Linked DNA regions of Struthio camelus. The main gene of each other region encodes a partner of the protein of the gene in region 2 in a complex. Links are inferred from orthologs where the notes say so. Each region holds a gene or a part of one and is shown on either strand. Other genes may lie near its edges. The genes, in order: PARVA and LIMS1.

What was found.
Region 1: LIMS1 (region 2) and PARVA share a complex: the UniProt entries of both Homo sapiens proteins name them as parts of the heterotrimeric IPP (ILK-PINCH-PARVIN) complex. The link is inferred for Struthio camelus from reciprocal best matches to the Homo sapiens genes LIMS1 and PARVA.

The regions. Positions count from the first base shown.
Region 1 is NC_090946.1:25,104,427-25,120,185, reverse strand, and holds the start of PARVA (alpha-parvin), read right to left. Parts: upstream 9,603-15,759; 5' UTR 9,588-9,602; coding exon 9,447-9,587; intron 9,391-9,446; exon of another isoform or gene 9,221-9,390; coding exon 9,138-9,220; intron 9,109-9,137; exon of another isoform or gene 9,068-9,108; intron 8,848-9,067; exon of another isoform or gene 8,843-8,847; coding exon 8,631-8,842; intron 1-8,630. UniProt on the Homo sapiens protein: Plays a role in sarcomere organization and in smooth muscle cell contraction. Required for normal development of the embryonic cardiovascular system, and for normal septation of the heart outflow tract.
Region 2 is NC_090942.1:155,376,496-155,391,926, reverse strand, and holds the start of LIMS1 (LIM and senescent cell antigen-like-containing domain protein 1), read right to left. Parts: upstream 8,709-15,431; 5' UTR 8,622-8,708; coding exon 8,440-8,621; intron 6,044-8,439; coding exon 5,884-6,043; intron 1-5,883. UniProt on the Homo sapiens protein: Within the IPP (ILK-PINCH-PARVIN) complex, binds to F-actin, promoting F-actin bundling, a process required to generate force for actin cytoskeleton reorganization and subsequent dynamic cell adhesion events such as cell spreading and migration.

The DNA.
Region 1 (15,759 bases), on a different chromosome or scaffold from region 2:
TACCCCTGCCCCCAGCACTGTATCTCTTCCCAGCCCAGCAGCACCGGCCCAGTGCTCCCACCAGAGAGCGACCACTTTCCACAGTCATGCTCCTTGTCTCTGCTCCGGCTCTGCTCCCCTCTCCCCTTCACCTCCCCGGTAGCAGCCACTCTACTCCACGTGGCAAGGGCACAGAGATGAGAGCAGCAGCTGTTACTTCCTTTAACCTGTTCTATGCATATTTGATTTTATCCTGTATGAAACCTATAGGCTCAGAGGATTAAGAAACAGCTCAAATGGGAAACATATGGGGGGGTGGGGGGAAGGCACACTTTCATAGCAGCTAACTTGGCCACATAATCTAAGGCCAATTTTGCAAGCTAAATGCAAAGACAGAGCTCAATGGCTCTACATCTGCATGCATGTTTTCAGAGAACAGAATCAATGGTCGTATTAGGTCAGAACAGATGATCATCTAAGCCCACGGTCCCAGCCCTCTATCTAAGTCTTGGCCCCCGACAGTTGCCAGAAATGGATTCTTAGGGATACAAACAGAAAAAAGCAAATATACAGAATGCTTTCCCTTGGGATACCTTCCTAATATTCAGGGATTTCATGAACTGCAAGTTACATGTAGGCCACCATAGACGTTTTTTCTTTCATCTAGAATCCACCCAATCCCATTTCTAGCCTCCTCCCCTCCCCTTTTAAAATATTTCTGGTATCCAAAGCACCCTGTAGCAGTGAGTTTCACACCTTAATTATGTATTGAGTAAGAAAAGATTGTGACATTTCAGTTACTTCAAAAGCATCTGGATAGACCTAATGGCTGGGGTGCTCCTCTGGGAGGCAGAAGAGCCAGGCTTTATGTCTTCTTCCCACATATGCTTCTTACTGCGTGGCTGGGTCCTCCTGCCTCAAGCGAGACAACATCACGGCCTCCTTTGCCTCTTCACAAGCAAAAAGGAGGTTGGTAGCACCATGGCTTTTTTGCTCGTTTCAGTGCAGTCAGCATGTTTTACATATCCAATGTTTTACAGTGCTGTGGGATCTAACCCCTTCACAGACTTGCACGCACGCTAAGAGACATATGCATAAAATAGGCACTAAATGCTCAGTTCTGCCAAGAGAGTGATACCTCAGGATACAGACTGAATAACCTTCCCGGCAAACTGCAGGCATCTGGGACTCTCAAATTCCTACACATTTGCTCAGTTCAGGGTTTCTGTAGATGACACAAACGGACCAAGCCATCTACTCACTGCATGCTCTGTGGGTGTAGTTTTTAGATTAGGCCCTATGTAAATATTTGGTGAGAAAAATTCACATTTTTTTTAATTAGTAATTTTGGGATTGTCTGTGACTTCTGAGATTCAGAAATGCATTAACAGGCAGCACTTGCAAGTCTTTCCTGAACCAACCAGAGCCAAAACCTGTTAAGGAAAAAAAAGAAGAGAGAGAGAGACTCTTGAAACCAGGCACAAAGAGAAAATGCAAAGAAAAGATGCAACAAAACTCACAATGAGATCACAAAAACGAGTACTGGCAAAACTGAAAGGAACTGAAATGACAAACATCGTTAAAATGCAGATTATAGTAAGAAAAAAAAAAGTCCAGGAAAATATTTAAGAAATACGGATAAAGAACTCCAGGTTGTAAGTTATTTGAGGACAGGGCTCTTCCCACTGAGTGTGAATGTATATTGCCTAACATAATAGGACCTAGTCCTTGATTTAGCCACATATAAACATAATAACGCTTAACAGTGTCTTGCAGATAACAAACAACAGTGCTGAGTGGATGCTGCTTATTGCAGAGAGCAGTACTTGTGGAAAGAGGGAGCAGGAAGGCAAGATAGAGGCACCACAAGATCCAACATCTATCAAATGCAAAAGCTGTTACTGTCACCCACACAAACCTAATGCTGCAAGGCCCAACAGGTGACGAACAGCTTCAAGCATGTCTGAGTTGTTATTTAGGTATACCTCGGAGAGCGTGCATCTAGAGGGCTATTGCCATCACTGCATAAGCAATGGTTGGGTTTTCTGTCTACACTGCCAGAAGCATTTCAGAGGCAATTATCCATCTTTCTACTGAGCAATCCTTTCAATGGTCAGAACAGAAAGACCTCCCCAGATACCCCCCAACAATCTGGGTTCAAAGGAGGGAAACAAAACCGCAGTGCTCTTCTCTTTAGTACTTTCTTTTCCTTCCATACACTGTAGATGCGCTCAGAAAGGCTTGTAATAATTAAATGACAACAAACGACGCAGATGATTCTTCCCTCTACTATTTTTTTCACTTTCCATGTTCCTTCCACCTAACAGAAGTATTTTATCTACTTTACACAACTTGCTCCAAGGCAATAATTATTCCAAGGTGGTACTAATAGCTTTTGTCCACCATCAGTTAAACAGGCAGCTATGATGCCTGTGGCAGCACACCAAGAACATGGGAATATGTAACACAGTTTACAGGGGAAAGAAGAGTATAAGCACATTTCAGCTGCTACACATTAAGCCTGGAGATAAAGCACATTATGTCAGTCATCAAAAACAACCATTCAGCTATTCTAATAGCACAAGAAGGCCTAGGGTTGATGCACTGATATGCTGCAGTAAAAATGAAAATTCAGAACTACTGATTTATATAAGAGTGATGGCAAAACCTACCTCAACCCATTTCTTCTTCATAGAAAATGCTACATGCATCTTTGAAGCATTGCTATGAAATCTGCACACGCGGGCCCATTGATTTTCTTCATACTATATGTTATTACCAACATATTTGCTAATATGCATAGGTAAGACACAGCAGTTCTTCTTTCAACTTCATTTGCATTTTAAATACAGCATCAGGTAGCAATAGTAAAGAAAAAACCTGCAAAGCATTTAAGTTAGTCTAGGATCTCTCACATGAGAAACAAACAGATGATGAGCAAAAGATAAGTCCTACTGTTACAAAAAACAGCCCTTTGTATCTATAGTGCACTACTCTGCTTAAAGAGAAGTTGCAGAAACAGGTCCAAAGAAAATAATTCAAAAATCTCAAAATTCAGCAGAATGCTCCTTGTATACTAACAAATACATTTCTTTCACAGTACAATGCACATACATAAGCCAGATCAAGGTATGACTTCTCTTTCAGAGAGTCTCACAACAAGGCATTTTAGTCACTGATTCCTTAAAGACAAAAATTTTTATTTAAAATAGCTGAAGAGCTCTCATCACCCTACGCTTATTTTTAATTTGTAGTTGTTCCGATTTTTATATTATTGTTAGAAATGTGCTATGGTAGCAAATGGAGACTAAGAAATTGAAGGGAAATATCAAGAAATAGCAAATCTAAAATATTTTATGCTGTTAACATCGTAATTTTCCCTCAGGCACACACAGAAACACAGCCTACTGTGACCTCACATACTGAAATGAAATAAAACCAAAACATATGAAGGATAAAGAAGAAATATCATATAAGCGGAAGCTAGAAGAAAATTCATTCCTTCTCTTGCCCATCAACACCAAATAAGCTAGGAAGAAGAGCAGTCAAATTACTGAAATTGATGTCATATCAATCGGAAAACTGACCAAGCCCATACAATGGGCAGTAATTGCTCTCTACCCAATTCACAGGTCCAAGCTGTCTGTTTTCCATCTGCTCCTACGCAATTTAAGCAATTCTGAACTTCGCTCTCTGTTTCTGAATGTGTCACAGATTTATTAGAGCGTCAGGTTCCAATTCTTAAGATTCTCTACTAAGGTAAGCTATTATGAGGAGCTAAATTTGTATGTCTATAATTGCCAGGCCAGGAAAATTCAAGGAGGGCAATCACATATGACCTTAATGAACCCACCATGAAAAATTCATAAGATAATATAATATACAACCCCACCCCCAAAAAAGAGGTCATTCTGTTCTCTCCTTGCACTTGTATAAAGATATGCTTAGTACACAATACAAAGTACTATGAGGAGCTTATACTTTTTTTTTTTTTTTTTTAACTTGTGGTTGGCTTTGGCTAGTAAAATTAGCTTCACTATGGCTCTTACCTCCTGATAGACGAAGACTGGAATCCTTCAAAGGCATATATGGGGTGGCTTAATTTTTGAACACTTCTCAAGAATGAAAGGGACAGAATCTTACTATAAGCTAATTCTTGCTTATAGTTGCTTCACTTGTAAACAGGTCATCAAATATTCTAGTATTATCTCAGTATTTTTTGTTGCATTAAAAAGGTAATTATAGTAAATTTAAACATAGTTAATCATTTGTAGTTTTTGTTCCTTTAACAAAATGTATACACTATTTAAAGTTGCAGTTGTTCATGCCCTCTCAGGAAAGACTAAAGTATGATGCTCTTACCCTTGAATTACACCAATGAAGATGAGATACTGTAAATAAAATCCAGGCCACAGCCCTGTGTGACAGAAGATGACCCAAGCAGCTTTGCCTTCCTCACTCCCAGATTTTATATTTCATAAATATTCTCTAATAGTTAATGACAACTTATTTTGCAAATTAACATACATCCTAAGGCATGACTAATCCCTACTTACATCATGAGCGGTATCTCAACTAACAGAATCTCAAGTTATTCTCTTTGTTCTGTCCTGGTATAGAGTACAATAATTATCATATAATATATAATAGATATACAATAGATGATCAGCCTTTTCTCTGCTGTGGTAGGGTGTGTATTCTCTGCTCTGCCAACAACTCGTACTGCGTTATTAGAGAATTCACTTCACTTCTACATTGCTCGATATTCTCATCTATAACACGGGTGGAATAATCACCACTGCCAGGAACTGTGAAATTCGTAAGGAAGGACTTGCTATATGAAAATGAAAGGTATTACCAAAAATCCGTTTTATATTGCACTGTAAGCCACTTTTGCTACATGTAAAACTACACAGATTTTATAAATAGCTTGCATGACTGTACTATTATCACTTCAGATCCTAATGGCTTTGTATTTGGTAGAGCATTCTGGCACTGGCTCTATTATTGTGATGTATAAAAATATTGTTTTGACAGTTAACAATGTCTGTTGATGGCAAAAATACAAAACCTAATACATACAATTATATACTTCTACAACAGTTATCTAGATACATAAATAAATAGTATTAAAATGTAATTAGTATGTTCCCTACAACAGATAAAACATTTTTGCATTATTTAGAAACATTAACTTTTACACCATATGATAAAAGGCCAAAGAAAACCAGTAAGTTTCTGTCCTCTATGTAATAGCAGAGCTTATATCAACTAGAAGAAAGGAAATTTTCAGTTACCCCTTATTTCTCTCAAGAGCACAAGCCTCAATGACTTTCTTGAGCAACAGCTAATCTCTAAGACCCAGGTGTGCTTCTGAGCTTTTGTTTCCAGGTATGTAACCTGAACGTGGTCTGGCTTAATGCAGGACTGAAACAGAGTGGCTGCAACAGCCCCTTTGTTGTCCCTGAAGGCATGCAGGTTGGAAAAAAGCCATAGCACGCACCAGCCAGGCCCATAAACCCGTTGATCAGGAGATCAGGATGACAGAGGCATCCTCTGCATCGTCTACATTCATCTAGAAGAGGAATACTTGTTCCGTTGCCTATACATTAAAGATAATAATAAACTGCAATAAGCAGAATTTTTGACTCATGAAGAAATACTGACGCAGCTGAAATCTATTATGCAGATTTACTCTACTATAGCATACTAAAATCACAAAGCAAGACTAACAGAACAAGACTTGTTCTATTGCCTATGCATTAATAACAGCAATAAACTGGAATAAGCAGAGTTGTTGACTGATGAAGAAATACTGACATAGCTGAAACACAGTAGGTGAATTTACTCTACTAGCATACTAAAATCACAAAGCACAAGGCTAGGTAGATAAGAAGGAGAAATAAATAACCTACATAGCAAAAATACCATTATTTCTAAAAAGTTATTAACAATTTATAGTATTTAGGGACCTTAAATAACTAGAGATCAATGTTCACATTCAAAATGAGGTAGATATCCATAGCAGACTAACTAGGTTAGCGAACAGGTCGAGATGCTATGGAAAAAAAATGTGAAGAGAAAAGGTGCCATCCAAGAGTACCTCATTCTAAGTTACAAAAGCTGAAGGTCTAAATATGGCCAACAGAAAAAAAACATTTTTTCAAATCCCTATGAATAATCCCTTGAACTTTTTCTAATATTTTATATGTGTTAACAGTTGAACGATCATGTACACTCCTATAACTGAGACATTTCTCTGTTATAACCTTGACGTTAGAAAGGTCTTTAAAGCAGGAAAATCAAAGAACAGAGGCTAGACCCACAAGCAATCTGATCTCCTATATGAAGGCTGTAGTTTAATTTCAAATATGCCTGAGTCCTACAAACTCTGACAGTACAACATAAGATGGAAGCCATATGCATCACAGCCTGCAAGAAATAACGTGGCTCATGAATAGTGTGCAGACCCGTATTTATTTGTAGGAGAGATTAGGAGGCATGAAGAAGAAAGGGTTCACTGTAAAAACGTATTGGCTTTAAAAGTCATTACCATTTGAATCTGCTATTTAAAAATAAAATAAAATAAAATCATTCTCACTAGTATAAAGCCATACCAGTACATGTCAGTCTCACGTGCTTCCAATGAAAAAAAAAAAAAAAAGATAAGTAAATAAAAGATACATTCTTGAATGTATCATTAGAGTCTTCCAAGATCTTTCCAAGAAAGATGCTATGGAGAAATTAATGAAACATTTTGTCTCCATCATGAAATACTACAATATTCTCACAAAGTTTTAAAAAAAAAAAATCCAAACCACTGTGATTTTTTAAAAAGCTTTAGGAAATTGGGAAACACAAAGCACATCATCAATGTTGTTCCAAAATGTTAAAAGGGTAAATATTAACTTGATGAGACAATGAAATAGCAGGTGTAGATTTTAATAAATTTAATAGAGACACAGAAATAAAGACAAAAACTATGATTTCATGGAACACATTTTTTTAAATAAGATTACAAGATTGTGAATAAAAGTAACCGTGCTGTCTCTGACAGATACCTGTAGATTTATGACATAACACTGTGGCACTGATAAAAGTAGTATTGTCTGATAGCAACACTGGACATGCTAAATCTACTACAAATAGGTTAAGTTAAAAGTCTCAAAACATAACTACAATACAGACACATCACAGAAGATTGTTTCTAGTGCATTGCTACTAGAGTTCATCGATACTCTTACAGAAATGGCATAAGGAAGTGGATCCCTAGTAAAGTTTGCCACTATTCACTGTTTCATAAACTTCTGGGCCAACTGCAATGAACAGAAGCTTGAATAACATCAGCACAATTGCGTAACGTATTTTAATAGAAAAGCAAGACTATGCATCTCAGAAATACAGGTGATGGCTACAGCGAGGGGCTCACTCTTCAAAGTAAAGTGTTATCGTCCTTGTCCATGGCATTAGCACTATTCTGAAATACTTTGCCAAATTTCACTCTCCACATATATATCAGAAATCAGGGTCTGTTGAGCATAACTCTTTTTTTCTTGCTTAAGAATGACAAACATTAATTGAAAAACTGTTCTGAAGCGGACGCTATTCTAGCTCCGCTTGCATCATCAGTTGCAAAATGACGGGTGAGTGAGGTTAAATTCCAATTCTCTGTCTCATGGGATTTTAAATAGGCAGATTCAGTAGGGCCTGGATATTAATTCACATGTACGGACAAAGAAAGAGACCTTTGTACACGCTCAATCTTCTTCAAAGGATTACTATCACGAGGCAAAGGTTTTCAGCTCAGTCTAGGAACAACTGGGTTAAAATTTAAACCTTTAAGGAGTGAACATAATCACATCATTCTCTCAGAGCAATGCGTTGAGAGCATGCTGTACACCACTATAAGTCGATACACTGCAAACCAAAGCAGACATAAGCATCTTTAGCCTCACTTTTTTTTTCCTTCTTTTTAGCACTACAGCTTAAAAAAGTAGGTAATCTCAAGCAGGCACCGTGGGGTGCACACGCCGACGCAGCCCAGGGGACCTCTCCTCGCCCGGATGCAGCGAGGCGCAGGGCACCTCCGCCGGGGGTATCACACCGGCTTTTGAGGCGCTGCCTCTCTGTGGCGGCACCCGCCTTGCGCTCCCAGCACACATCCCGGCACCCAGACCCCTGCCCGGCTCACGCCCCGTCCTAGGGCGCACCCCCGGGCCCGGCGCCGCCCGCCCTGCCCGCAGGGCACCGCTCAGGCCGCCGCGCCGCACCCCGCGGCCCGCGCGCGGCGGTTGGCGGTGGCGGCGGTTGGCGGTGGCGGCGGTTGGCGGGCGGGGCGGCGGGGGGAGGGGCGGCGCGCGGCCGGGCCCGCTCGGGCCCCGCGTTTCCCCGCCGTGAGGCGCGGGCAGGGCGGCGGCGGCGGCGGCGGCCCGGGCCCCGCAGGGCGGCCGGGGAGAAGCCGGGGGCAAGGCGGCGCGCTCCTCCCTCGCTGCTCGCCTGCCCACCCGACACGTCCGTCCCAAGTCAGCCCCTTCCTCCCGCTCCCCAGAGCCTTTTCCTCTCCCCCCCCAGTCTCCTCCTCCTCCTCCTCCCACCCCCCATTTTAAGGTAACTCCCAGGAAGCGTGCAAACCTGTAAATTTTTTTTTTTACCTTCTTTGGCTTTTTTCCTCCTTGCCAGCGTGCCGCCAAGTTTGCCCAGGAAGGAGTCATCTTTCTTTCTAGACGGGGGCGATTTAGGGGTGGGGGATTTAGGAGACGACGGGGACTTCTGAGGGGAGGTTGCCATGGCGGTCCCAGCACCGCCGCCGCTCAGGGATGAAGGGAGACAGGTTTGGAGCCCAGGCGGAGCGAGAGGCTGGCCCCTGCTCTAAACGGAAGCGGAATTATTTCAGGCATTTGAGGCAGCTCCTGCTCCGCTCTCCCGCTCTCCCTCTCCTTCCCTCCCTCCCTCCCGCCCGCCCGCCCGCCCGCCCGCCGGGGAGGGCCGCGCTGCCCTCGCCCGGCCCGCGCCCGTTCCCTCCGTGCCCCCCCACAGCCCAACGCCCCCCCCAGTCCCCCGACAGCCCTGTGGTCCCCCTTCCCCCCACCTCAGCCCAACGGTCTCCCAGGCCAGCGGCTCCCGCCCCCCCCCCCCCAGGCCCCGCAGCCCGCCCTCACCCCAGCCTGCTCCGCTCGGGGCTTTCAGCCCGGGCGGCGGTTCCTCGTTGCGGCTGACGGGGGGTCCCGGCTGCCTCAAGGCGCTGGAAGAAGGGTTTTTCTGTCAGGGGGAAGCGACACCCTCCTCACCCGCCCTCCTGCCGCACGCTGAAACATCGCCTCGTTCAGGCGAGGTGGTCACCCCCGCCCCCGCCGCGGCCTTGGCTGGCCCCCACCAGCTCGGCGGCCCGCGGTTTGTCCTCCGACTAATCGAGCAGTGAAGTGCCACTGAAGAGCTTTGGGCAGGTCCCCGCGCGGGTTGCCACGTACACTCCAGCCTTGAGCCAATTTTGGGAAGCGGGCTGTCTTTCTGCCCCTGTACCTCTGTCGTTGGAGGTGGGCATCGCGTTCCCCCTTTCTGCCAAAAAAGACCTTTATTAAAAAGAATGTGAAAGAAAGGTTAGTGAGCATGATAAATTATTGCCTGTGCCAATCCTCTGTTGATTTGCAGGTGAGCTGCTTAAGAGAAAAGTATGTTTAAAACAGGTAATTGGCTGTGACTGGTTCAGGAGACATCTAGGGCTGGAACAGCATTAATGTCATCTGGATGTACTACTTCACTCCCCTCTTAATCACTCGATTAACAATTTAGGCAAAAAGCCACACACACTTTATGCAAATATCTAGCTATCCATTAGACATAATAAGAGAAATGAAATTACCATGAGGATATTTCTAAATCAGCTAATAATTGTTGTTTTTACAAGCCAGTAACAATGGTTATCTGATGAGGGATAGACACCAATGAGTATTTGTTGTATGCAGTTAGTATATGCCCTAGAGAATAATTTCATTCACCCCTACCACCATTACTTAAAACCAGGAATCAACACAAGCCGTTAAGAGACTCTCACGTTTCCTTAGGTTTGCTCTCTCTGGCTTCTAGCACTGATTGCGCGTTTGGATTTTGTCTGCAGAATCTCCCCACCTTCACACATTACTCTGTTTTGTTAAGAATTGCTGTTCATGCGCTGTATAGATTAGGATACAAACAATTCTGAACAATTTTTTTAAAAACAATGAAATATAATTTTAAAAGAAAGCAAAATAATCATGTAGAGTCCTTTCTATATACACACATGTGAATCTGCAGCATTTATAAACAGCAATGACACAACTTTGGACCCAAATACTACACACAGACGTCCATGTAGGATTTTGTGGGCACAGCAGAGTAGGATTTTGTGGGCACACAAATCTGCTTGCCTTTGTGCCACTAAGTTTGGTATTAAAGGCAAAAAGAACAAATCAGATATTTCAGACAGTAATGTGCGCTGGGTTATACAGCATGGGAAAATCAGAACTCAGCATGCATTTGCCAAGTCACACACCAAATAACTTACAAGTCCTAGTATCTCTACTCAGTTTTGTTCCATACTTTTTTATACCTAGCATATGTAAATTAGATATCAAATGTAATATTCCTTATTTAATAGCCTCATGAGCTATAGGTAAGGATTTAACATCACAAGCAGAAAATATATTTTAAAGGAAACTCAATGTGCATTTAAAATAACTTAATCTGATTTGGGAACAGAAATACTGTAATGCCTTGAGTAATAATGCTAAGGGGTCACTGCAACAGACTTAAGTTTGTTGTGTTCTTTAGGGGCTTCTTTCTGAATTTATTTGCAGTTCTCTTAGGTATAACATTATTGCAGGGTTTTTCCAACTTATGATGATGCTCTCTGAAGATAGTTACAACACTCCTTCTCCCCGCCTTGTATCTTAAATTTCCAACTACATATGCTACTTTTTTCTTTTGATCTGGAAATATATATGCACATATGAGCTTAAATTAATATTGCATTCAGCACAAAACGCCATATAAGTACACACAAGGTCTAAATTATGGCAGATGTACAAATGTTGCTTTTGAATGCCTAGTTCCTATTTCTATAATATTTTAACCACAAATAAAAGCTGTAGTAATATAGATTCGGTGGAGATTTTTGTTTGTCTAGGTTTTTGCTCTGTTTTACATTTAATAAGTGAATACTTTCATGATCATGCTCCATGATCCCATGCACCAGACACAATAGTCAGTAGGTTGCCATTCAGGCTCACCTCACTGCATCCAGCATATAGAAATCTGGAGCAGGCGATCAAGAGCTCTCACCGTGCTTCCTGTCAGCGCCTTGTTCCTACAGATGATCCAACCAGTAGTTCAAATTAATTGTATCCTGATCACATACATACTTTTGCCAGGCAATAAAAGGAGGCTAAATCCACAGACTTCAAATGCATTCTTACTCACCTTCATATCTGTCCATGCACACCTGTTTTCTATTTCTTTTACTACAGAACTCAGAGTGATCACAGATAGAATATTACTTCCTGCATGAGGTGGAAGAGACAGAATACATAATATACCAGCCATGGTCTAGGCTAATAAAAATGAGCACTGCAGCAGCTGAAAGTATACTCATAATCTGAGATAGCTGACTCAGGGGAGAGAGGTCAGCCCTGATGTCATATCTGGTTTTCAAAGTATTTCTTCTGTTATTACACAAGTTTAAGCCAAGCTAGTTAAGGCCATGCAATAAATTATCGATTCTTCTTGATCTGGAGTTCGACATTTTTCTCTTAAGTACACTTCTGCTCTAGCCTTTTGACTCTGTGGTCTTTTAAACAATAACAGTGGAATTTTCAAAAATACTCTATTGCTCTACTGCTATTGCAGTATTTGCCTACAGTAAGACTCTTCACTGACTTCATAAAGAACAGAATTAGACCAAAGTCTACTCTTTATATTTTTCTAAATGTTTGCAGTCAACCATCTTCTCATGTGCCAATTCTATGTAGTGAACTGCTGAACATTCACATCCCTACTCCCCAGGCTGTGTGTTAACAGCACAGTAAAGGATGGTTCTTAGAGAAGACGACATTGACATTTCCTCACAGGCTACTTTGTGGCTGTTTAGTGTCTATTTTTTGATTGGGATTCAAAGAGAGGCTGTTAAAATTTAGGACACTGGTAAATAAGAGCTTTGGTAAGCTTCTCCTTTCTTCCACATATCTCAGCCAGAAGCTCAACAATAACAAGCAATTGAGGCAAGTATGAAGGCTCCTTCCTTTGGCTCCTCCCAAAAACTCTCTTTTACAGTGCTGGCAACTCACATTCTCCCAGTGCAATGCCATAAACTTTCCTCTGCTTTCTTGTGCCTGTCAGATACAGGAGCACCAGCCACCCCTGTCCTCCCAGGGAGCAGTTGTCTGTGTTTCACAGGGTGGCTGAGCAATATTACCTCTCACCTGCATCCCACTGAAAGACAACACCACGGCGTCTCTGGGATGGCTTTTCCTGAGAGCACCCAAAAATCTCTGGAGGGAACAGCTCTCACAGGACCTGGCTGTATCCATGAACCAGACATGCTAGGTGCCTGTTCCCCTCCAGGGAACTAACGCCTTGCAGCCTGTCCTGGTGGCACCCCTGGAAGTTGAGAGGCAAGAACTTCAGGCTTGTACTTCAAGAAAGTGGTTTTGTATTTCACCATGAAGCCCCCTTCCCTTCCCCCCCCCCCCACTCCTCTTCACATGGCTGCGTGCGGTGGCCACCTCTGGTACTGTGCTGGGAGAGGCGGTGCTGGGAGTGGACCACAGCACAACATATTGCCTGGCTGGTAGTCTGCGCAGCCACATCTCCTGTCCCATACCAACTCAAGGCAGGTTATGTAGCCCATAGGACCTTGTTGCATATGATTTCAGCCCCTAAAAGGCCAGCCCAGGGTTGACTAATCATCCCAGTGGGGGCTACGTTATAACGGCAGAAAGCACTGCTATCAGGTAGCAGGACTCCAAATTTTCACAGCCACCACCATCTCAAACTCACACTTGAAGATAAGTTTGTTTCCAGCTCACAAAGTGAGTCTTAGATTGAACCTATGCTTATGCTTAAATTTAAAATTGAGCTATGCTTTCTAATTAACCTGTATCTTCTTTGGGTTAAGAATCTTCTATTAAAAAAAATAAATAGGATAATGAATAATAAATATATTATTCATTAATATAGAGTTTCATAGAAGTATTGGAATATCTCCAACTAGATCCTTCAAACGTACAATATATTTCTATATTGCACATTAAGGACCCCAAAAGGTCAAACATAGACTTAGTAAAGAACACTGTAGGTGCAAGACAAAAGACAGCATAGTGTATACACAGATCACACATAGAGATCAATTATTTGGAAAGTTTCAATGGAAGGAAATTGGTTTTGAAATTTTTCAATGAGATAAGAACATTATCCTGGCACTTAATGCTTCTGGTAATATGTAATTCTGCCAATCAGTTGTTTATACGTACTAGGCCAGGTTTACATGAATTTACCTCTGGACTTGTTGAGACAGTTTCAGAAAAATTAGGCTCATGATTTTTTATTAATAAGCTTTTGTATTCACAAGAAATGCCCTTCTCTTGTCTGTAGCTTTGTACATCTGTACTATGTGACTATACCAGCAAACACCTAGCTGGCACATGAAATCTCTTGCCATAGTTCATTAGAATCAGCAGAAGAAACCATGCGGAAAAAAGACAAGTTGTTCATAAATACTAGACAAACAGATTTAGGTGAAATCCAGTGAATACATTACTCATCACAAGGTATTTGTCAGGTTCCAGGTTTTGGAGATACCATGACTGCCATGAAGACTGTAGGGATAGTATTCACATACTAACATGGTAAACCCATCATGCCATACTATGCAAATAACTGTGTGGTCCCTCCAAAATTCAGCAGACAGCTTTAGATCTTAACAGTAGCAAGGTCTTAAAAGACAGACAGAATCTCCAATCTGCTAAGCCACATCCTGTTACATACTTAAGCAGGAAAAAAACCAGAGTATATCTTTTTGGAAGGAAACTGCTAAACTAAAATCAAATTCAGTTGAAATCAGATATGCTCCCTGCATTAGGTTTGAAAATAGTGGTTGCAAGACATAAGTCTGTTACGTTTGTTGCCTGTGCCCAGAGAAATCTAGCCAAATACCCTTAAAATCAATGAGGCATTCTCTTACCTTGGGGACAAATCAACTGATCTCAAGGCATGTGATGGCTTACAAAGTCTTTTTCTTCAACATCTTGCCCAACTGCCTTTCTCTAGAGCCATAATCTTTTGGAGGGGGTCAGAGAGAGTGAATAATAGGGGAGCCTCAGTAAATTCCAATAGGCAGATTTCTACCCCTATTGTGCTCCTGGGCCGGCCAAGCTCCCCGGCTGCCAACCAGCTGGCTGAGCAGTCAGCAGGGCTGCAAAGTTTTATACGCGTACGCGTTTAAAAGTTTGACTTATTACTTCCAATTGCCATGCAGGTGGGTGATTCCTCTGCAGTCTTGAGGATTTATGAGTAGATTATCAGCAGAACCACTACCATGCCCACCTGGTAAGAAGGACAAGGACATGACAGTAGAAGACAAAGCTCAGCTCAGATGTGACAGAAATTACCTGGACCTTTGAAGAGCAGCTGCCATCCACCTGTCATCTGAAGAGGAGGGAAGCATCGATCAATTTGGAATTGCTGCTAAGGGGACAATGGCGCAGGGGCTAACGTAAGCCCAAATCTTGCTTATCTCTTCTGAGGCAGTAACGTTGTCTTCCTCTGCGAGTCTGTCCCACTGGTAGAAAACAACAGATTAAGAGATAGCCTAATAGAAGTAAAGTTGGTGGAATATGAAAATCAGCAATTAAGGTTTTGCTCACCAATTCTTGATCTGCGCAGTGGCCTTTTTCCTTCAGCTCAAGGAGTTGTCAGTTTGTATGTAATGTCTAAGGAAATTAGGTGATGAATTACCATGTCAGAAATTAAAGGAAGTTGTTGATCTCATGGGGTTTGCATTTTCTTGTTAAAGGTCAAGTTGAACACTGTCTAGCAGCAGAGTGCCATTATTTCTAAGATATGAAGTGCCAGGTAAGATAGTGCAATTTACTTACCAGTATATGATTAGGAAAATGATATAATTTCTTACCTATAGGTCTTTCCTAGACATGCATTATTCCTCTGTAGATACTGGAGGTAAGAAATTATTACAGAAATGACTCAGGGACTTTAGAGAGTGAGATACAATTTTATTTCTTCAAATATAAAACTGCTCACATCTAGTCAGGTTAGATACAGCCAATATGTTGTAGCACATCATATTATACTTGTGATAACAGTGCCAAGGATTTAAAAATAGTGACAAAGATTTAAAAATCAACAAATTCCTTATAAGTAAGTGAGTCAATTTACAGAAAAGATTGAACAGCAAGAACACTCATAACCAAACATATTTGTTTAAATGCATTTCTAACGTAAGCCAGCCATATTAAATTGAGCTGTGAACAGTGTACATAGCTTCTCTTTCTTTTTCCCCTCCTCGCCTACTCTCATAATGTACAAAGATCTACTTTAAATTACCTAGAGCTTATTCTTCTCCTAAGTCACCTGCACTCTTCATTTTTGGACTGAATCTTGTGAGCACATTAGTGTCAGGCGGGGCAACAGTAGCTACGCAGGACTTTCCACCCAAGAGCCTACAGACACACACAGGAGACCTGCAGTTTTGGGTACGGCGTGTATTACTACCACATATCATACAAGAAAGTA
Region 2 (15,431 bases):
ACAAGTATGTCCTGAAATGAAGGGAAATGTTTAGATACCTTCAGGCACCTTATTACCAGACAGAAATGCCAACTAGCCATGTTAAAACCAGAAACACTATATTAGGTACGCTATAAAATGTTTGCATGCGGATGTCTCAAATTGAAACACTGGGAAAAGGGGGATAGCAGGAAGCCCCCATGCCTTTCTTTTTACTGGGTTTAATACAAAACAAAGCAAACTGCATAAAATACTACCTGCAAATGAAGTTTTGGTATATGGATAGAAAATACGGTGATATGCCTCAAGGTTAGCTGTTTCATACCATGAAATTCCACAGATCAAATGCAATATAGGTTTAGTAATTACTGGTACCACATACAAGAGCTATTGGCAAGGTGGTCATTTAATGAAGCAGCCTACAAGTCACTGGAAACTTGGGACCAGCAACTTAGCTCCTGTGCTCAACCTGAATCATGCCTACTATGAACAGAAAAACACGTGCTCTAGACAGAAGCTTCCAGAAATAGATGTCAATAATTTATGAAGTGCTTTTCAAGCGCAGTAAACTCAAACAGACGACTTTTTTTAACTGGAGCTTTCTTCTGGTTGAAAGACAGCGGGCTACTGCTGTCTCAAAGAAAAACTGAAACCTTTGGTTCCGTGAGAATTGAACTTGCTTCCTGCCAAACAATCTTCTTAAAACTGAGAAACCAGAAAGTGTCCTATTTTGTGTGAGCAGGCAATGGAAGTTGCACAGGTTTGCTTGGATTTCAGAGCCGCCACACGTTGATCTGGGCAGACCAAACAGGTTTTCTTTCCCTCTGGTTTGCGCCAGGCAGGTATATTAGGTTACCATTAAGTCTTGTTTATATTTTCAGCTTTTTTTTTTTTGGTTCATTTGTGCTGCAACCTTGGGGATGACCCAGCAGTTCATCAGTCAGAGAAAACCATGAACCCCAGTGGCAAATCCCACAGCATTTATTTTAGGATCAAGGTCATCTGACTGTGGTAGACTGGAGGTCCACGAATCCAATGTTTCTGCACACGACATTTCACCATGGTACAATCTCCAGCTGATATCCAGGTCTTTACTAACTTACTGGAAAGACAGGCACAAAAACTTCTTTAAAGGCCCTTCCTCTAAGGTACTTTCTGGCAAAGTCCATTTTTAGAAAGCACTGCAGGTGCAACTGGAGTAGAAGCAAAACTGACAAATTCATTGCAGCCTCTTCCTTTACGCTTTGTATGGGTTATTACAGAGGTCTTTTAAGGAAAAAAAAAAAATCTGAAAGGAACACTCTCCCCTCACCTACAAACAAAAGCAGCAAGTCACTCAGAAAAAAAAAAAAAGCTGCAACTTCCCTAAACGCTCACAAATACAAGTTTCCCATTATAGAGCTCATAAAGTATTTTATAAGGATTTTCTTGTGTTTCTTCCACTGTGGGAAGCACCTCTCTAAGTCCTTTCATCTCACCCACCACAGCAGCACAGTGCAGAGCAGGCTGGGCCCCTGCAGAAAAAGCCCCTCTTAAGGGGTAGGAGTCATCTCTCCTAACTTCTGCTGGCTAAAAATTGGATGCGTAAAGCTAGGCCAGTCTCCTGGGTGCCCCCGTGGAAGAGAATAGCTGTTTCCGAACCTACGGTGCGATGGGTCGGAGGAATTGCCCACTGACTAATTACACCTTGGGCCAGTCTTAGACTCCCCCTCTACCTGACAGCTCAGGGTTCAGCTCGGGCTGAAAGAGATTTCAGTACTGCAGGATCCCCCAGAGGTCTCTTCCTAAACAATTCTCTCTTATGTTTCCGGCTGTACGCAATAGCAAGACAAACGTGAGAGTGATGACTTGATGCAAGAGGCATCGCTAATTGTGCACTGCTATTTTCTTAACTGTACTGACTTCCATCAAGCTAATTTACATCAGCATTCAGGGTTATATTTCATTGGCCCCCTGGACATGGTGGCCCCGAAGCTCCCCACGGAAGCAGGCTGTTCTGGCGTTATTAGTACAGGACTGCACATTGTTACACTTTGCTGGTATGAGTTTGAGCTAATTGCTGTTTAGGTTAAGTGCAGAAGAAGACATGCTAAGCTGATGATACTGAACAGAACAGAATACAGGTGCAACCTAGCAGGTCCCACCCCTGCGGCTCCTGTGCAACGTGAGGTGCAAAGCTCTCACTCACTCCCTTAAACCACAAGGCCAACACTGGCTGGAAAACTAGCTACACTATCATTTCTAATTTATGCTGAGGAGGACATCAGCAAAAATCCTAGGGAGCCTGGATATGATGCAAGTTTTCCAGGAGTTGTAGCCACCTTCAAAAGGAAAAAACTTCAAAAAAATACACTGAAAGTCCTTCCCTTTCCAGAATCGTTGCTATTGAGGTCAGTGCTATCTCCCAGCCACAGAGGAGGGCTGCCCTGGTACCTGCGAAGGGCTCAGCTCTGACACCGGACCGCAGCAAGCTACGCTGATCTGGGCCCACACACAACCCGGTGACACATCCAGCGACATGGATAACCCTACCAGTACACCCCCTTGCCAGGGGAGCAGAGCCCGAAAGCTTACCACTGCAGCATTTGAGTGTGAACGTGATAAGCAGCTTAATGACTAACTGGGGAAGGCTGCAACGCTTGAGATAGGTGGGGGAAGAATACCTGACTTCCCAGCTGCTAATAGCTGAAGATCCTTTCCAGGGAATACTGGCTTAGCTCAACCAGACACAGAATAAACAAATTAATGCAGGGCTATCAGCAACGCTTCCATTTACCCAAGGGGAACCTGCTCAGAAAAACACATTAACTGGCCACACCTCCAAATGCATCTTCTTAAGGGGTATATTAAACCAGTTTAAGGAAGATACCCTTTTTGCCTGTCTTCCTCACAGTGATACAGATCACCTTCAGTCCTCCAAGCACTGTCAGCCATCTCCTGAGCATCAGCCAACCTGAGCTCATCCTCTGCCTGCTTAGAGTTGTTCCTCCCTCTCCCCCAAATACTTTTACTCAGGACGTTCCCAACCCTCGTGCTGAGGTGCCAAGTCAGTGCTAAACCACCCACTCACATGAAGGAAGAGCAGGCTGTGCCCTTGCCCCTGCTTCTTCCTGAGCAGCACAACCAGGAAGCGTTCCAGGAGTCTCCACCACCATCATTTCACTGACCGCTTCACTGCCAAGTGAGCGCTGTTCTGGCGGCACAGGACACACGTGGATGCACTTGGACTAGCTCACCCTAAAGGGCCTGGCTGCAGACAGAGTAGAAGAACCCGCCAAAGATTTCCAAGCTGAAACAGCCAAAAAGGCATGAGGGCTGGGACAACACAGATACTCACCTCTCCTCTGTCTAGAAGATGCCCAGAACTGGCAAGTACAGACAGGAGAGGAAGTCTAAGTAAGATTTATTCACCTTAATCTGAAGGCTGTCAGACGTTTCGACATGCTTTTGAAAAGTCTCTCTCCAGCAACAGACAGACTTGCTGGTGTGGAGAGGAACTGCAAATTCTCATGGTGGACATTATAAGTAAGGGCTAGAGGCAGAAGGATTGCCCGCAGTTCACATATAACTCTTTGGATGTTTCCTTAATCCTAATCATAATTATTTTATTTCTGTAATAGCTGTGGCAAAAAGCGTCTATTCCTAACTTAAATTTTCCAGTTATCGTGTAACATTTCTGAAGAACAAAGCCATTGCAAGCCTCTGCACAGTCTGAAAAAAATGCAGAACTTTACCAAAACGTGTTTAAGTACCTGGGGCTGTTTTTATTCCCAGGACAATCTATCAGCACTCACTTCTGACTTATTGTCTTTAACAGGAAGCATCACTTTGCAGTAAAAGAATGCTTAAAACCCAACCACAACGAATAAGGATGTTAGCACTGTAGCAGTAGGAAGCAAAACGCCTCTGTGCAGTGCACCCAAACACCACCGGGATGTTTGCCCCTGCTGAGGGAGATTCACCTAGGGCCACACATGAGCAACGGACAGGCTGAATATTCCTGGACTAGGTGCAAACACACTTTCTTTCCACTATAGCCCTTCTCCATCCTCTAGGAGGTACAGGCTTTCTAGAACAGTATTTCTCAAACTTCCATCTCCAAGGACCATCCAACTTTCTGAAAGAGGTCCATGGATGGCCTGATTGTGCCATTGTTTTTTCACACTCAGGAAAAGGAAAAATAAATTACTCATCATTTAGAGAAACATTCTGTTGTTTTAAAGAAACGTTACTAGCACAAAAATGTTTTAGTTTTAAAGCATGTGTGTCCCTCTATACCTGCCTCAGGTCTTAACATGTCAGGACTGACTCTTTATCATGCCTGCGTGTAGGCAGCAACTCATATTAACAATTGCAAGATAATGTGCAAGCATCTTGGAGGTGTTGTGTTTTGTTTTTTAATTGCTACTGCTTTGCAGCTCACCTTTTGATGTCTTAGGGACCACTAGTGGCTCATTTACCACAAATTGTGCAACACTACCCCTAAAGCACTGACAAATCTTTTGATCTTCAAACAAGGTGAGAGGAAGCAAACCCCTGGAATCCCCCGTGCCAGTCTCTTTCCCAACCAGCCACTCCTCCCTCGGCTGCCTCCTCATCACCACATGGCATGGCTCTGTACAATTGATTTAAAATATTACTGTGAAAATAATCTGCTGTGCTCTTGACACAGCAATAACACCTTGTATGTGAGAGCACAGTTTTATGCTTTTAACAAACGGCCAACCTTCCTTTGCAGATCATAATATGACATAAATCCTGCAACCGCTATTGTATGTTGTACTACAAACTATCTGAGCAGGACCTTATTTCTACCTGCTTTGTGAAGTGCTACGTACATTTGAAGCACTGAATAAATGGATTACATATAAACTAGGCATGAACTAAGAATCTGGCATAAGAGTCTATCCCGACTCTGCATTACACGTCAAAGTAAGCTAAGAACACCTTTTTGCAAAATTATTGGATTGGAACTACTCTTAGAGCTGCTCCAGGCTTCCGGTGTGATCACAGACAGTGGATTAGAACAGGGTTTTCAGAAATGCCTAAAGAAATTTGATACTTATTATATTATACTTTAATCTTTCTGAGCCTTTGCTCCCCATCTGAAAACTTCAGCTAACAATTCTCTATCTCACCAGCTCTACCCTCCCTTATAGCAATTGCTTCATACTTTATGAGCTAGTCTCAAGCTTTTACTAAAGCCGCTTTGTACTTGAAATAGCTAAATACTCATCACAGGCGAAGGGAAAAGAAAACTACATTAATATTAAAATTCACCTCTGAGCTGAGGGCAATCCATCTGGGGCAGAGAAAGCGAGTGGGAGTGGTTTTTGCTTTTGAAAGCATTTGAGAACTGCTAATTCAGAACGTCCCAGTTTGCTCTGCTCTGTCTAGAATTGACCTGACTTATGCCTCATTTGGGTTTGGGTGACTGCACACCTTTCCCTCAGCATGCTGACTTACGGACCAACATTTCAACTGCAGCGCTGGCCCCACAGAGCTGAGCAATAAGCCTCCTACGGACTACGGGAGGTTGGGATTTCACTCTGTCTCAGTTCTGCTATAAAAAGAACGTTCTCTACCTACGTCTCATAAAATATATAGATTTTCTTTACAGATTCCAAGGAAAAAATTCAGGACTGAGAGAGAAATCTCCAGCAGCTTTTTCGCAACTCTGACAACATTACGCTGCACACTGAAGTAAGATATACACAGTGACAACCTCCAAGTTTGCACAAAAGTATTTCTACTTTTTTCACCGTCTACTGGGCACATTCTTTCAGAGCACAATTTCTGCCACAGCACTTTCCAAACTATTGATCCGTCTGTATTTACTTCTTGTACAAGAATGAAAAAACAAGCCAGAGAATTGGGGCAAGAACAACCTTCTGCCTGGCTTACCTCGTAGAAGAGCCCTTCGGGAAACTGCTGAAAGCACTGGGCACACACAAAGCACTGCTCGTGGTACAGTTCACCGTTGCTGTTGACAATTTTCTCTGCAGGTGCAAAGCCGCCTCTGCAGCGCTCACAGATGGCATTTGCAAGAGCATTTGCCATGTTGCTGTCATAAAAAAGAAACAAGAAGAAAATGAGCCAAAACACGCAACCCCACTGATTTTAGTTCATCTCTTTTTTCCAAAGCCAACTGTTTCAGCCTAATGCTAAGCTGCTCAACGAAAGCTTGTTCATGCACTTAATGGCTTGTGGCATTCCCTCAGAAATAAAACGGTCGTTTCCCCCCTGCCCATAACTCTTTAGAAATAAAAAACCCACAACACAGTCTAACAACTGCTAATTTAAAAAACAAACAGAAACATCATTACAGATACATTCATAGGCGTTTAATGAGGGGAAAAAGCAGGTGATTCAACCAAGTACTATAAAAATGAAAAACTAAATACATGAGAATCATGGAAAACAAGGGCCAACGTTAGCAGTAATTAACACATTAGAATAATGTTCACATTGGAAAACATGAATGATAAGACAGTCCTAAAACATACGTAACACCATTGGTTCAAAAGCTTTAAAATAGCAATGTGAAAGCATATAAGGTATTTAGTCTAGCAGAAATTACTGAAAACCAGAGAAAGCAAACCATTATTCCTTACATTGGTTTCACACAGCTTAAAGTCATTTTACAAACGTAGTTTAAAGTCACGGGGGTCTTGGTTTGTTTGTTAAGGTTAATCTTAACGAGATCAGCTCCCTACATCAGCTCGCTCTGTGCCGGCCTCAGCGCGGGGCCAAGGGAGAGAGGGTGGGACTCTCGGGCTGCAGTAGCAGGCTGGGCCACTGCAACCCAGACTTAGGCCAGCGCAAACTGCCACGGGACCCCACGCTGGAGATGCAAAAAATACTCAATAGCCACCCTAGCTGCTTCTCAAAGGCGTGTGGCTATAAAATGCCAAGGGGGTATCTGTAAAATACCGGAGGGATTAGCTACTTTGTCAGGAGTAACTGGGTTACAGTTAATTAAGAATCTAGTACCAGGAAAACGTTTATTTGATTTTAACTCTGCCAGTATTTTCTCGCTTCCATCTAGCCTTTCCAAGCTATGCCTTTCAGGATCACCTCTCTGCGCCAATAACATTTGACAGCAGAGAGCAAATACAGGGCAATGGTCTAGGTTCATACAATCCAACCACAACTGACAAAACCAACAATTCAAACATCTATCTGGAAGCTTATCAAAGAATTAGGGTTATTTTAAACGCAGATACGCACACGCACACATTCGTTACCAAAAGGTATGCATGTGCATACGTCTATTGTGGGCACATTTTGGTACAGAGAGGAAAAAATCACGGTGCACCCGTAAACGCAGAGGACTCGGTCCTCTGCAGGATGTCAAGCCCTTCCCTCCAAGGGGCTAAAACCTGCTGGCTCGCACTGGATCCAAAAGCAATTGAATCAATTCCTTATACAGCACCAGAGTTAGCAAACGCGCACCGATCACATGGTTCAAAACAAACGTGCTTTATCTGTTTCTTACATTGTATAACAGAAGGGCTGCACGCAAGGTCACATTTGACCCGTTATTATTCACTGCTTTCTTTTTCCTCTCTAGAGCCCTTTGCAGAAGGTGGCAGCAGTAACCGATACCAAAATATTTACCACCCTCTTAGTGAAGCGAGTGGGCGAATCTCACAGAGGAGAGCAGACTGGAGAACGCTCTACGCCATACGTGACAACCCACAAACATGCTGAAAAGCTGCAGCAATTCTGTGTTTAAGCAGTGGTTCACCTTGCAGCTAGCCAATGCCCTCCAAGGACAGTGTGCGGTTCACGAGGGGGGCAAAAGCTCAGTCACTTCACCCATCCTTATCCTTCAATCTGAACGAACAGCGATCGCAACGTAACTTGGGATCTTTCATTATCACCTCGACAGCTCTGGAATACTAAGGATGTTCAACTTAAAAAATTATTTAATGTTAAGTGCTGTCAGACACAACGTGTGATCCAAGCAAAACTATGAAACGTAGACACTTGGAAAATAATTACATGAGAGCACAAAGCTTTCCTTCTAAAAATGCAAAAATACTGGTTCACTTTAATTCGAAACACATGTGTAAAAACACCAATCTACGCAACACTTCTGTTATTAGTGGTCCAGTTTACACATTTCCCCATAATAAGCAGCAAACGATCTCAAATCAGAAGTCAGAGAGACTACTCTACAAATGCCAAAGCGGTACCAGCTACTAATAAAAATTTCTGACGCAAGTAATGATTAAGTCTACAGCAACGGCTCAAATTTTAGTTGATGATTACAACCGGCAACGTCTCAAACAGGGAACAGTGGCAAAGGTTGCCTTAGAGAGTGACTTACACTGTCTACCCAGAGCTCAAGTAATAATAACAAACAAAAAACAAAAACCACACACACACACACACGTACAATACACAAATAATTTTACTGAAGTCGAACGCCGAAGCTGAACAAAATTAACTTACAATCTTGCATAAAAGTCACAAAACTCTTTGTAAACTTTTATGTCACTGTGCCTACGCTGCAATTTTGACACTGCTTTCTCGCCTTCGTTTCCCGTGGCGTTGGGGGCAGCGGGAGCCGCCTCGCGCGGGACCTCTCCATCCTCCGGGATCACATAAGGCCGAGCTCTGCTTTGGAAATCCATGCCGCTTTAATCGCTTTCCAAGAGTGAGATATTCGCGGTATAGGCAGAAGTCGGCAAAACGACGCGCTGGACCTCCCCCCCCCCCCCCCCCCCCGCCTCGTTCGCCGCGCGGTGATTTACTGTCGCAGCTTCGTGTCAGTCAGCCAGACCCCTCCGGCGCTCGCCTAGAGCTTCAAGTTAAGAGCCGAGCCGACGCGGCGGCGGGACGGTCGGGCTGCGATTTGGGGGCAGGCTGGGGAAGGCGCTCCAGTTGCGGGCTGTGACAGCAACTCGGCCGCTGCGAAGCGGCTCCGCTGTCCGCTGCTGCCAGGAGCGGCCCATGCCGGCGCAGGGTTGCCGTGTGACGAGTAACCTACGGGAGCGAACGCGGTCACCGGCAAACTTGTCCGCAGGTATTTTCTGCTGAGCCGGGGGCGAGGGGGGGGGGATGGAGGTGGACTCCAACCATGTTTTCTTGTGGGCAAGCCGGCAACGTAAAGCATGAAGAAAATACTTCTGTCATGAGGTCAACATTGTTTTAATACTCCGGTATATCAATTACATTGTAAAAACAACCTTTTCTGTTCCACCTATATCGTCTTAGGTCAAACGTGGGGGGTTTATCTCTCTCCAGGCATCTTTCTTCCTGTCAGCGCTGGGGAAAGAAGGACGTGCATACAGATACATAGTTTGTTTCCGTTTGGCTTAACAGGGCCCCTTAACAGAAGAGCCAGGTAACCAACCTCTAACGGGGCGACACGTGAAGCAGGGAAACTGCAACTTGATTTTGAGTGAGCGCATCACGTCGAGAACGCTCGCCCCCGACATGAGCTGAAAGCTGAAGTAATTTTTCATGGACATGAGGGAAGCGAGAGAGCAAGGCCAGAAAGGAAGAAGAAAGAAAGGAAGTTTAACCACGGCCTGCGCCGCTGAACGCCCTCACAACGATCTTCACGCTGCAATTACTTGCGGGTTACGCTCCACCTAAACATCTGTCGCGTGCTGCTTACTAAGGCAGGCACGACAGCCTTCAGAGCTGCGGCCATTCATTTCGCTCTTCTAAGCTCTACCTGCTTAAAGCGAAACGCTTGTGACAGGCGTGGGATAGCCGGCTCCTGAGAACTTAAAACTTCAAACGCGAAAGGACTTTGGGAGGCAGCGCTGAGCAACGGGGCTCTTGCGCTGAACTCACTCAACCTTGTCAGCAATCGATTAAATAGCAAAACCACATGGGCTTTGTGTTCATGACACAAGGCTTCCTGGTATCCGAAGAATTTGCTAGTCTGCGAGGGAGCATGAGAAAGCGGAGGAGGACAGGAAGAAAAAGACTAGCGGGAACAAGCAGAGAAATCAGAAATGGGACTCAACAGAGGACATGGTAGAAATTCCACTCAAGGCTACTATTTTTTAATATGCCTTCAGCATCTGGAAAATGATCATCCTAGTGCCTATTGCAGAGGGTCTCTTTTGCGACCATTTTCCACCAAATCTCACCTCATTAACTGGCACAGTTGGCCCAGAAGATTAAGGGGGAGCACATGCCGCTCTCAGCACAGGCCCTGAGCTCACACCTAGCTCTAGCAGCTTCCTGCAAGCTGCTCAGCACAGCCCTACAACTCTGCTGCTGCACAGCACAAACAAACGGGCTAAACGGCTGCGAGGGCTTTGCTCAGGCGTCTTTCCTTAAACTGCCCTCGGCAGGAAGTCTCCTCTGGGCAAGCCGTCCCCACCCCCCGCATGTTGTCCACATCATGGCAGCTGGGACTTAGGCAGCGTGCCCTCGCTTTTATATCTCTCTGTAGGTCTGGTGACCCAAGGCATGGTACAGCTACTGAGAGTCACACGTTGCAACAGGCTAAGGAGGCGGCACCCTCACCCGTTACACAGCTTGGCTGGAGCCCAAGCCCTATTTTTATCTGTCTTGGAGCAAGTTTCAGATCAAGCAAAGCTCAGGCTATAGCTCTAGGCCATGGTGATATTGCCTGGGCACAGCTGCAGGAAACAGTGGTGGAAGAAAAGGTTTCTGCATCTCCTGCCTCACTCGTGATGAAAACAAGCACTGTTTGCTAGTGGACATGTCGACAAAGTGACTCCACTCTCTTTCTCCATGCTGGATCCCAACATTTCCTGCACAGGTAAATACTGAGCCCTTGTGAGTATGAAAAACTCCAGGGAGACTCGCTGCAATGGACGAACAATGTCGATTCATCCAGAATTAGCACAGGTGCACTAAGCCACTAAGGTAAGAAACAGCAAGCCAGTCTGTCTCCATTCCCCTTATCACTGACCATCTCCTCAGTTGTTTTCTTGTATATTTTGTCCCAAATTGCAGGAAATTCTCCTGAGAAGCTGCTGCTACAAACCAGAGCCCTTAGGCATTTCTGACTCTCTGTGGACTACTGCAGCCCTTGCGGTAACCTGAAACCTATAGGCTACAAAGGTGGCTAGAAGCCACTTCTGCTTCCTTGCATCTTCTGCTGGTCAATAGGAAAAAAATCCACCCCGGTGCTTGCTTCTTCAGCTGGCTGCTGTGCAATCTCCTGTGCAGCTGCAGCAAAGCAAGCAGTACAAGGAGTCAGTCATTGCAGCAAGAAGTCCATCCACAAAGCCTATTTTAATCTTCCTAGCTTTTATTAAGAAGCAACCGTATGAAGTAATAAGTAGGCCTTGTTCTGAACGCCTACTGCCGCTGCTCTCCGTGGAATTATTCCCAATTCACATTAGGTTAAGCAAGAAAGGAGCTTGCGCGGAGTTTAAAAGGGGCTTTTCTGCTACGAAAGCAAAACAGTTTCCAGTGTGAAGGTTTGGTAATCCAAGAATCCAGAGCAAATGGTCATCTTTCTCTTTTTTGTCACTTTGCTGGAGACTTGCTGCTGAGATCTAAAATTGGCTGTCAAAAATATATTTTCATTAGGGAATTCTAGATTACTGTGAGGTGAAGTCCACAAGGAGCGAGAAGTATGCAGGCGTTCACTGATTTGCAGCAGCGGCTTCCCAAGGGTATTCCCTGGGATCTGGGACAAAATCTGCAAGCCAGCTGTTAAGGAAATAGTCGGTGATAAGGAGAAAAGAAAAGGGAGAAGTTAAATAATAACTGAAAAAGGTAAGGAGGAAGGAAGAAGGCAGAGACACTACTGGCACACTGCGGATGTTATCAGGAGTCAAGGCAGAGAGCTGGGAAGGCGATAAAAGATACAGAAGAGGAGCCAAGGGGAAGCACACAACTGCTGCAATGGAGAAGGGCTGTAAAAAACCACTACGCAGCTCTATCATCTCTGATGTACAACCGCCCTCCAGCTCACGCACTGCTTTCCCTGGAGAGCTTTTCAATCCCGTTTTGGTCGTCGCGAGGCACTGAAGGGGACTCTTACAGAGAAGGCTGGGTGGCCAGCACGCCCCGCCGCACATTGCGCCTCCTTCCACAAATAGACGTGCGGAGCAGCCACGGCTCCAAACAAGGTGCTTGGCAATCACAGCTGCTGCTTGGCAACCTACTCGTATGACTGCGAAATAACATTGCCTGCTGGAGTACAAGCTTGCTGCGTCACTAGAGGTTTCAGGAGGCCACATGCACCATCACGTTAGGCAGAGGGGAATGAAAAAAAAAAAAAATCACAAGGCATCCCTCCTCATCCCACATATGTAAGGGATGATTTCACAGTCGATGCTGTGCAATGTCTTTCACGTGCAGAATAGAGAAGAACTAGAATAAAAGTTTGCCCGTAAAGTATACATGGCTTTGCAGTGCCTGCAATGATTTCTGCATGAACCTTTTAAAGTGCTAACTGATCTTTTGTGTCTTTTTACTAAAATTAAAAACACTCTTGGGTTTTCATTGCTGCAACTGTTGGTCCTGCAAGCAACAACGTATTTCCTATGTTAAATTGATCTCTTAAGGTAATTGAAAGCAAGGTATAAATCTTTTCCACGAATAAAAATGCACATTAATGCTAGGATTGGCACATGTGCACAGTCCTGCTCTAACTATTAGAAGGGATGCATCCTATTCAAAAGGATGCAAAATCATCTCGAAAACATGATAAAAACTATGTGAATTCTGAGCGCCCATGAAACTTTCATCCTTTACTCTTGGCCACAAAAAGCATGATTAAGCTCATGTAGTGGGAGTTTAAACAGGGCTAACAAAAGACAACTCTAGCTGTTTCATATACTTCAGTATAAACTTATTCTAGTATAAACATGTCCAAAAAATGCTTTGGTCTCCGCAAACAGAGAAGGTTCACATTCCATCTCTTCATAAGGAAACGAATATAACTGGAATAAACAGGTAAGCAGCACCTTCCCACACAACTCTATCTGTCATAGAAGCACAGTGAAAGTCAGTCTCTAACAGAATTTGTAGAAAGGGAGAATAACATTTGAACTACAGTACTTTTTCTGTTGTAAGAAATATTTCAAAAAAAGCGTTTCATTTTCTTCCTGCTGGTTACAAACATTAGCAAAGCCATATTGTGTGTAAAATGAGAAATGATTTTCTTTTTTCTGTGTACAGCTATTTGATCCTTCTTAATCGCCATCTCTTCCCCCCATCCCACTCCACACACTATTCTTTTCTTGAATCCTATACAGATAGAAATAAAGAAAAAGAGAAAAGATACAGCATCAGATATCAACAGCGCACAAGTGCGCTAATAAATCTGGGTTGCATGAGACACAGCATGCTTTCAGTTATTCTTAAAACTGCATCCTGTGTGGCTGACTGTATGTATACTTCATTATGGCAAATACGCTGCATCCAAATTATTCCAACTCAACAAACTTTAAAGACTTTAAAAATGCATATACACAAACGCATTTCATATAGGAGCATTTATATCACCACTCCTAGTTTAAGAATAGTAAGAAGGTCAGATACTATACACTAAGGACTACACGTTTAATATATCTAAGAAACTCGCCCTAAAAAAAAAAAAATCCTTTCAAGAACAGGTGAGACCATATCAGGTGCACCAAACTCAAAAGCATCTTTCTGTTTGGACATATACACAAAGAACTTCACAACACCAAGTCCAACCAGTTCAAAAATCTGAAAGTGTTTCGGAAGAATAATATTGCTATTGGTGGAAGTAAAACACTGGAAAGTCAAGTGAAGGACAACAGAGCGTGATCAGGCAATCTCAAGCAACTGTGTTAGAGGGGGTAAAGAATCACAGAATCACAGAATCGTTTAGGTTGGAAGGGACCTCTGGAGATCATCTAGTCCAACCTCCCTGCTCAAGCAGGGTCACCTAGAGCATATTGCCCAGGATCACATCCAGAGGGTTTTGAATATCTCCAGGGAAGGAGACTCCACTACCTCTCTGGGCAACCTGTTCCAATGCTCAGTCACCCTCAAAGTGAAGAAGTTTTTTCTCAGGTTCAGGAGAAACCACATCTCAGTCAATGCAGTATTACACCTAACTACATGTGAACTCCTCATCCACCACTGAAGGAACAAATTTAAAGTTCAAATACATTAAAGAAAGTATGAGGCTGATCTTTGTATTTTCTGACATTTCAAATCCTAGGAAAACGCTGTGCTTCCATATTTCTCTTCAGAATAACAGTTTCATAGCACCAGTATTAAATATATATCATCATCTGTCATTAAAATTCACCAGAAATACTTTACTGAATCCTTAGTGCAAAGGCAAATGTTAACCTTTACTTCTGCCTTTACCATCTGCCTACACTAGCTATGACTGATGTTTTTATAAGCTCAACACTGTGACCTGAACAGTTCATCCAGGAGCTATAATTAATGCCTTGACTAAACATAACATCCAGTCTACCATGAAAGACTTCTAGTATGTCCATGAAGTTCCTTATAGGGCTGAGATAACCGTGAACACCAGACTTTCTGGCTCTAAATGACATTCCCATTATAGTAACGACTCCACTGGAGATACCAGGCTAAGGACTGACCTTCCGCTAAGGTGCTGCGGGACAGGGTTTCTTTCTTCTCTAAGTAGCATGTCAGTTCCATGCAGATATGACCATTAATACTATACTTTCCACATCATCATCTCTCTAAACATTTTTCACGTTCATTAGGTTCATTTTTCTGTTCTCATGCTTCTGATTGTGGAGTGCTGCTAAAGTTTTTCATCATCTGAATTAAACAATTGGTTTTGGGAAGGCAGAACGCAGTATAAAGCAAACATCTTTCGAGCCGTTTCTTTTTTAGTGCTCTTCTCTCTCATACACAACTTAAATTGCAACCGTTAAGTCATTTTGGTTTCTGGTTTCACCTTTTTTCTTCAAACATTCACTGTAATATTATCAAGCTTTAAAAATAGCACAGAATGGAAGACAGTTAAGCTTTCTGTAATTAACATAATGGAACTAAATAATAATACTAATATTCAACAGTTGGAAGAAAATAACCTGAAGTGATTTACGTTGCTAAGAGTCAAGCATGAGTAATATACCGAGAAATGAAGCTAATACAAAATAGCATTACTTGCATACTCCATTACAACGATCTTGACCTTTTTCAGGTTAACACAACCCGAAGACCATCACCTTACACTTTATACTCATTAGTTACTCAATAGTAGTAGTAGACATTTCAGGTATGCACAAATGAATTTCAGTAACGGCTACTGAAAAGCAGTTTGGAAAATGCTTGGCAAGTCTTGAAGGCTTGGTAAGTATTGCAGGAATTTCTAAAGTCACAGTTTTCACGCAAACAGTTGGCCAATGCTGAGTACAGCAGGAGTGAATGAACGTAAAAAAATACTTGTGATACTACAGGCAGACTTGGGAGGAAGGATGTAAAATTTACCACTTGCAATAAAATCTTGGCAGGATTACCTGAAGGAGCAGAGT